Linked DNA regions of Oryzias latipes. The protein of the gene in region 1 purifies or fractionates together with the protein of each later gene. This does not show direct contact. Links are inferred from orthologs where the notes say so. Each region holds a gene or a part of one and is shown in the gene's direction. Other genes may lie near its edges. The genes, in order: nek1 and c17h21orf2.

Region 1 (3,816 bases):
GAGTGCCTTTAACCGTGAGGAAAGTTACCGATGGAGCCAGAAAGCCCTCAGACAGGAGGGCAGCTCTAAAACACAAACCAGTTTGTATTTTCTTCACTTCTTATGTTTTCAGCTAAATTGCATTTTTCTAGTTTAGTTTCTTCCTGTAAGATAAATGTTTTAAATGTGTCACTCGTGGTTTTTTTTTTTAATTGAATGTGTTGCTTAGGCACCTCTGCCAGCAGCCCACCTGAGAAGAGGGAGTCAGGTGGAGGAGGAGAGGAAAAAGCAGGAGGTACTTTTATCAGAGACTTCCACTCCTGTCTTTCTTTGTCCCTATGACTAGTATTATCAAGGTTCCCCTTCATTTGCTCTTTTTCTGGGTTCATCCCTGACACCAGACTTCCCCTTTCTGTCAGATCAGTGAAGAGGATTTCTTTTGTCTCATTGCAGGAAAACATGAAGAAGAAAAGGATGGAGCTGATGGAGAAGGACAGGAGACAGAGAGAGCAGGTTATTGCACTGTTTTCTTTCAGGAAAGCTTTTCCTAGTTGTTCCAGCCTTTCTGAAAAACGTGTCTTTCAGATGTTCATGCTGAAAGCAGAGCAAATGAAGAGATGTGAAAAAGAAAAGGTGAGCATTTCAGGAGCCATCTGCCTCTTTGTCTGTATTTCAAATGCAGTTGAATGCACTTATTTATTTATTTGGTTCCTATTTCCCCTCACTTGAACAATTACCCATGAACAGCTTAGTTTAACTGGATAAAATATACTTCAGTACATGAAGTTTTAAACCCAAATCCTTCTTGTTTTTTGGGTTGTTTTTTTTACGTGTTAGGTTTCATTCAGAAAGTGTATTCTTGCCTTTTTATCCAAATCCCCCAATGTACTTGTGTATCATGTATAAAAGGGCCTACAGCTCCACGGGGGCAGAAAAGGGCAGATATTAATCCTATTAGACCTGTCACAACCAAACACCGTTGGTAGACTTAAACCAGGGGCGTCCAAACCTTCAGCAGAGAGGGACAGGTGTGATGAGGTAAAATCTATGACAGCCAACCAACCAGGCTGCAGGATTAATGCAAGTAAACTATTGAATAAAAGTATAACTGCAGCCTGAGAGGGAGAAGATGAATGAATAAACCTGGATTTACATCAAGGAAAATAACAAACGGTTCTCTTGATCAGTAGTGCAAAGATCAGAGAAACAAATGTTTCCTCTCGTTGGGCCCTTTAGGTTCTGGAGGTCAAGCAGCTCTTTGTTCACGTTTGTGTCATTGTCTACTCCTCTCAAAGATCAGTAACTGAGAGGTGTCTAATGAAAAACTCTCCTTCCATTTCACATGAACTGTCTTTAATTCTCCGGACCACAGAGTTACAAGGCAGGCAAACTCCTATAACTCTCGCTTCTTCTTAGGACAAATGTTCTGCAGCACGTTCATCTGACAGTCATAAATTCATCGTTAGTGAAAGGTTTGCAGTGCTTGGCAGTCGATGTTTTACCTCGTAGCTCTTCTTTTGTGGTGCTTTCATTGGACTCACGGGTCCTTGTGGAAATCCAAAAATTAAAAGCCACTTTCCAGTTCATATTCTGCTCTGTTCAGTCTCGGTTCAAAATGGCCACAGTCTTTTGGGATTGGAGGTAAACACAGTTGTTTCATATTTCAAGCAAATAAACACTCCAATTTCCACGTGTCCTTGGACCACGCATGCCGCCGGCTCAGGCAGTAGAGCAGGTTGTCCAATAACTAGGGTTGGGCGATGTCCCTTAAATTGGCCGTTGACGATGTTTGCTGTCAACCATCGGGATGGACGATGACATCGTGGGGGGGGGGGGGGGGGGTATTTTTTACATTTTTCGTTCTTATATAACTGCTATTCGTTTTTTGCTTTTTTCATTTTATTTCCCTACTGATGACTAATCCGCGATGATCCAGTATAAACTGAGGGAGGTGACTTTAACAAAAAAAGTAACAAACAAAATAGAAGAGAAGTAGTCCGCTCCCGCACTTCCGGGGGAGTGCGGACTTACAGCTTTGTGTTTGATGGGAAGGGGGGGGGGGGGGGGGTACATGAGCGGTATGTGTGGGAGATTTAAGACTGCGATCCGTCCCGCAGCTCTAGGGGTACAAGCAACCGAACTCAGAACCGGGTCTAAAAGTGTGTGTCTGTGCACAGCTCGGATCGTCAGCACACACAGTGGTTTGAGCTTCAAAGCAGAAATGTCGCTCAGTCCTTAAAAAACATTTAAACAATCACGCGGATTTGTGTTTCCAGTCGTGTCCCGACTAAATAAAGGCTGATGTTATTCTTACATGTTTACGTGCAGCCAGCAAGCAGAACCACCCAAAGCTAATGTTGTTAGCCCGTGTTAGCATACTGCTAATCCTGGCTTCGTTCAGAAAAAGAACTGACCACACGGATTAAAATTCAAATGATGAGCGAACAGGTGTTTCATAATAACCGTAACATTATTAAAAGCACGTTTAGAAGATCATCTCGTATTTTACCGAGCTGACATGTCAATGTATATAGCCGCTCGGCGCTGTTTAACAATGTTTTGTATTGAACTGTTACATACAATAAAGTTTGAAAAAAAAAGCCGCTCGGCGGAGTTTATATCCTTCCGTTTTTCAAACCCTACTGCGCATGTGCGAATGGTTTATTCCGATGGAAAGTGTGACCTTAGTGAACGTTTTTATATTCTGAAAACATTTTTCTGGGCCCATGTACACGGTTGGATTCTAATCCAACCATTGATCCCATCAAGATATTTTGTACATGTAACCGCGGCTTATGGTGTCGACGCGCAACGTGGCGGGGGCATGGCATCACGATGGTGGTCTCTCCATCGGGATGTCAGTCACCCATCACGATGGACGATAATATCGTCCATCGGCACAACCCTACCAATAACCAAAGGGTTGGCGGTTCAATTCCTGCTCCCCCCATTTAACTGTCGTTGTGTCCTTGGGGGACACTTCATCCTCCAGTGCAGCTCCAGTGCAGTGTGAATGTGTACGAATGTCGGAGGGGCCGTAGGCGCCAACTGGCAGCCACGCCTCTGTGGCTAACGTTAGTGGTTCAATAAAAATGGCCCCAGGGCAGCTGAGGCTACATCAGTAGTTACCCTCACCAGGTATGAATGAATAATGGACACATTGGAAGCGCAGATAAAATCCAATCCATTATTATTATTTGACCCGTGGGCTGGACTTTGGACGTGCCGGATTTAACTATAAGCTCTAGAGAAAACTGATGAAATCCTGCCTGTGATTTCCCTCAGATCACCAGAATAAATCAAGCCAGAGAACAAGGCTGGAAGCACATCCTGACTTCAAGTGGAGGCAGCAGCCCAGAGAGAAAGGTAGTTCCACCCTTCAGATGTGTTTCTTTTCAGACTAAAGCTGGTCACTGCTGACAAGCTTTTGTATTCAGTGTTTTGTGAGAGCTGTGAAGCGGGCTGCTGGGGCTGCCTCTCCTGCTCCCGCCTCCAGCAAGAGCCCCCCCGAACAAAGCCACCCTGCCTTGGACCAAACGGCCAAACCCCAGCATAAAGATGCCAGCTGGCTCTCTGCGGGACCGCGCAGTCCCCTCCGGTATGACCGCGTCCTTTAATGGGAAACATCACAGAACTCTTAGTGTCGGGTCTCTGCTGTGTTTCAGAGGTGAACCGGCTGCAGCAGGTCCGGTTCTGCCCAGCACCTCTTCCAGGCGCTTCAACCACAGTGCAATCAAGAGGGAGCTTCAGAGGCTGCAGTGCGTCTCCAAACACGTGCACATTAGCCGGTGAGTGGATCAGTCCACGACGGATCTGAAGGAAACTGGAGAAGACGAG
Region 2 (4,577 bases), on another chromosome or scaffold:
TCTCAAATGGACAAACAAAAACAACAACTAACTAATTTAAGACTGATTTCTTGCATGTGGGAAACAAATGTCACATGACACCAGTCAAGCTACATTTATCAACAGCCACTTTGGCACCAAACCAACTAAATACTTGTTCCCAAAGAAATAGTTTAAACTGAAGATGTTTTATATTTACGTGAAGACCCACTCCAATGAAAATGGGGTTTTTAAAATGCTCCTGTGGCCTTTTTCTGACGATGGGGGACCAAATGGTTATTTAGGAGCAAAAGAAAAATCCATTTGGAAAAGCGTATTAGTAATGTCACCCATAAAAATAAAAATTGTGCAAGCTTCCCAGTTCGTTATGGGAGGTGAGCGTGATCCACGCCAACGATCCTGCTCAAAACTTAGGGGTGAATTTCTAATGAACTGGTGCTGCTCTGCAAACTTTTTCCTATAAAACGGAACAAATTTTGAGATTTTGGCTAAAAATGACAGAATTAAAAAAAAAAAACACTGGGAATGCTTTAAAAGAAGCTCAAAGAACTCTCAAAATGATTGCTTGAAAATAGGAGTTTGTTGACAAAGTAAAAATCTAAAGAGTTCTTCCATCTTAAACTTTTATCTTTATCACATCCTTACTGCAGCCCCTCAAAATAACTCAAATGTAATCATCAGTTCTGACAGAAATCATATAAATCTACTATTTTATCTTCATCGTTAATTTCTAACTAAAAATCCGTTTTAAAACACTTGGAGATAGCCAAACTAAGTTTTGAGAATCACAGGTTTTAGGTTACACTGCACATACTCTAAACATTGTGCAACAATGCAATGTGCATTTTGATTATTTTAATCAGTTTTTGTGCTTGTTCACACAAACATATCTGACTTTAGTTTTTTAATTAGTCAAGTTGAATATTTGCATCACTTTTGAGTCTGCAACTGGCCTCAGTTATGAACACATTCTGCTAGTGCTTGATATTGAGTAATGTGGCTCTGGGTGGATTTATCCAGCCAAAACCACCAGCAGAAGATGATCTTAAATATGCATGCATGCAATGACAGATTCAATCAGGGGGTGATGAAGAAAAACAAAACACTAAGAGATGTTTTAACAGTTGGAAATAAATTACCTTTACAACAAATGATCAAGATCAACACAGACAAACACGATCTCTTACTTGTATGTCCAGGCACCCCCAGCCACCGTCTTCTTGCAGGACCCACAGTGCCAGATACCAACGGCCCTTCTCTTCATCTTAGTCTGCACAAAAAAAAAAAACAATCAGGTTTCAAAACCAGAAATTTTCAAGCACATCATTTCAAATTTCACGATTCCTATTTATTGAAATTGTAGAAGGATTAACAAGTGAGGGCGCAAGGACCGCAGGGACACCTTACAGGTAGAATGTTTACAGTAGCTCTTACCTTGCCACAGAAGGAGCAGGTGTACTTCGCATGCTGGGAAATTTCAATTTTCTTGACCATCTTCCTCAGCGACGCGCCGTAACGTGTCCCATATTTACCGACGATCCCCACCTTCTTGGTGCGCTTGGCCTATGGAAGGATAATAACCATAACGATTAATGACGCTAAACATCACTGGAAAGTATGTCAATGCATGAAAACGGAAAATGACTTAGCTAAAATGTTGGGATTGTGTAACTGTTTTTTTTTTTTTTTTTAAAAGGGTTCACAACCTCTCGGAGCCGCTTAGCTACAATGGAGTGAACGCTAGCTTCAACAAGCTAACGTTAAAAAAACTCCAAGCTCTCGAGCATGTTCACACATTTTGCTGAATTTTTGGTTCTTCGCCTACGTAAAGCCGAAGGACAAAAAGAAGACGCAGTCTGAAAAAAATAAGGTTCCAAAGTGATATCAAAAAGACTAGCTCGCCCGGCACTTGGGCTCTATGATATGGTGGCGGCCATTTCTGTTCCAAACATGAAAACATCATTCATTTAGATGGGATATTCATCCAGTAAATGCATGATACTGTTTCATATGAAACAAGAATACCATTACAATGTAATACAAATGGTTATTTTATGACTTTAGCCACAGGAATGGTTAGATTGACATGGATTGTCAACGGGAAACCCTTGGCTCACCATCGTTTCAGTGGAGACGTAGGTCCAAAGAGGGATTGCGTAACGCGCAGGCGCGATTTACTTCGTCGCCCACTTTGCATTGTGGGAAATTGATTTTTTACATGAACGCCATAACTCAAGAATTACGCTTTTCGGCACTTTTTATTTTGAATAAGCGTTTAATTGTATGCTTTTGACAGACACAAAATGCAAAAAATTAAAGTTAAAAAAACTCACGTACGCCGTAACTAAGAACGCGTTACTTGGTGTGCGCATGCGTATTTTCGACGTGAACAACGACATCCCTCTAGCTGCACGATTGAAATGTTGTGGCTGTTATGATGGACCATACCTTGTTTTTGAGGTTTTATGTAATTGAAAGCATCTTTCCTTTTTGAAGATACCAGGAATAATGCCATGAAGTTGACACGGAAACTGGTACTTGCTAAGGCGAAGGCCTCGGACTTAGAAAGCGTAAAAAAATTAAACTGCTGGTATGTGTACAGCACCAACTCTCAAGTTTTATGGGGGTCTAGTTATATTCATTCATGTCTGTCATTTATATCTTTACCACATGCTTTTTAATAGTTATAATGCTGCTTTTTATTGCTATCTGATACTAATTACTTTTTCAATTGATTTTTCTATCGTCTTGTAGGGGATGCAACCTGACTGATGTGAGTATTCAGATAATTGCTTCCATCTTGATCTTATTCTAACTTCTGTGCCTGAATTTATGTGTTTTTGCAGATTTCCATCTTTACACAGATGCCCAATATTGAGGTGCTCGCTCTGAGGTTGGTGCATTGAACTCTTTGACATCTATAATGAAATCTGAATTCCTGACTGGAACACTACCTTTGTCCATTCACAGCGTCAATGGCATCTCCACGCTTTCACCTCTGGCTGGCTGTTTATCTCTGACCGAGCTTTATCTGAGGAGGAACCAAATTCCCTCCCTGTCCGAGCTGTCCCATCTGCGTCCGCTGCCTCGCCTTAGGGTGCTCTGGTTGGCCGAGAACCCCTGCTGTGGAACAGATTCCAGCCGCTATCGCCTCACTGTTCTGCGCTGTTTGCCTCGTCTCCAAAAGCTCGATAATCAGGGTGGGTGTTAATGGAAATGCAGCCGTTACCTAAAGCTGTCGAGGAACTTCAACTTCACGATCCCTCTGTTTTTGTTTCTGTTTGGTGTCCAGTGGTGACCGAGGATGAGGTCGCTCTTGCTCTCCTGAATGGTGAAGAAGTCAGAACCCCTCCAGGCAGCCTACCTATCCAGCTTTCCAACAACGGTCATCAGGATGCAGAGACAGAGAATGACCCACTAAACTACAACATGGAGGAGACCAAGTATGTTTTGTGGACTAAAGCAGAACTAACAGAAAGGCACAAAAAAATGAAATAATTTGTCGAAGAAATTTAGACAAATGGTTTCTCTTTTAGCAAAATCAGACAGGGGTTGGGAATGAAGCCTCTCTCCAGGGACAAGTTTTCCTCTCCTTGTTCTCCGTCAACCAGAGAAAAACCAACAATGAGAAGGGTAGCTGCTATTAGCATCGCTGCAGTAAAACTCATCGTGCTGATGTTACATGAAGTTTTATTCTAACTAGCGCCATCTTTGCATTTTCAGACTCACACAGTGGATGCGATTCTGCTCCTGCTGAGGGATCTGGATGAAGAGGAGCTTCGGATCGTTCACACAGCCACGCTGAACAGGCTGCAGACCTACACACTGGGCTCAGGAGAGGCTCAGCCACTCACAGCCCACACAGAAACGCACTAGAACTCACGATAACGGCATGCATTCAGCTCCAAAACGCATTGGAATGTAAAACTCAGGACTTTGAAACAGAAAATGTGCACAGGATGACATTCCTCAGCTTTTCTATAATAGAATTTTAACTTTTATTTCTGCATGTGTACCTAGCCTTATGGGAAAAAATTATGCATGTTTTTTTCAAAATGTATACATTTATTTCTGTAATTAAAGAGGAAAAATAACAGCAATAAAATTACCTATAAATTGAGCTTTTATTTATCTGAATTAATTAGTTTACAAAGTGAAAAGTGGTGGTACTAAATCCTTGACATCATTTAAGCTTGTTCCGATGGACTTAAGCTTCTGTCCACAGATCAGATCCTCAGTCCCCCTCCTCGTTCTCCAGGAAGTCCATCAAAGTGCTGGCATCCACAGCGACAGTCAGGTACTCTACTCCATCTGCGCCCTGGAGGATGATGTCACCGAGGTCAGAAAAGCGATGTACTATGAGAGTTCAGAAGACCTATGAAAAGGAGTTCACCTTGCGTGTCCTGATCAGTTTATGGTCCCTGAACTCGGTCAGCTGAGTCCTCAAAGTCAGATCAGAGTTCACCAGGAACGCCTCTCGACAACGCTGGTAGAAATCTTGGAAGGAAAATCCTGCACACACCACAAAAAATGTATTTCAAATGCAATTTAGGAAGAAAACAGTTTTTAATATACTCTTTTTTTAAACACCTGTATAC

The links.
Region 2: the proteins of nek1 (region 1) and c17h21orf2 purify together in Homo sapiens (affinity purification with mass spectrometry; 3 studies listed by BioGRID and IntAct, with this or other methods). This does not show direct contact. The link is inferred for Oryzias latipes from reciprocal best matches to the Homo sapiens genes NEK1 and CFAP410.

The regions. Positions count from the first base shown.
Region 1 is NC_019862.2:1,046,364-1,050,179, forward strand, and holds part of nek1 (serine/threonine-protein kinase Nek1), read left to right. Parts: coding exon 1-80; intron 81-208; coding exon 209-274; intron 275-432; coding exon 433-492; intron 493-564; coding exon 565-612; intron 613-3,264; coding exon 3,265-3,345; intron 3,346-3,416; coding exon 3,417-3,577; intron 3,578-3,644; coding exon 3,645-3,767; intron 3,768-3,816. UniProt on the Homo sapiens protein: Phosphorylates serines and threonines, but also appears to possess tyrosine kinase activity. Involved in DNA damage checkpoint control and for proper DNA damage repair.
Region 2 is NC_019875.2:17,265,620-17,270,196, forward strand, and holds c17h21orf2 (protein C21orf2), read left to right. Parts: upstream 1-1,542; 5' UTR 1,543-1,594; intron 1,595-2,096; coding exon of another isoform or gene 2,097-2,099; exon of another isoform or gene 2,100-2,199; intron 2,200-2,339; exon of another isoform or gene 2,340-2,475; 5' UTR 2,476-2,492; coding exon 2,493-2,569; intron 2,570-2,733; coding exon 2,734-2,752; intron 2,753-2,825; coding exon 2,826-2,872; intron 2,873-2,949; coding exon 2,950-3,179; intron 3,180-3,271; coding exon 3,272-3,422; intron 3,423-3,515; coding exon 3,516-3,612; intron 3,613-3,702; coding exon 3,703-3,855; 3' UTR 3,856-4,099; downstream 4,100-4,577. Other genes in the region: rpl37a (60S ribosomal protein L37a), read right to left, coding at 1,167-1,249, 1,414-1,542, 2,097-2,099; orc2 (origin recognition complex subunit 2), read right to left, coding at 4,214-4,297, 4,373-4,491, 4,570-4,577. UniProt on the Homo sapiens protein: Plays a role in cilia formation and/or maintenance. Plays a role in the regulation of cell morphology and cytoskeletal organization. Involved in DNA damage repair.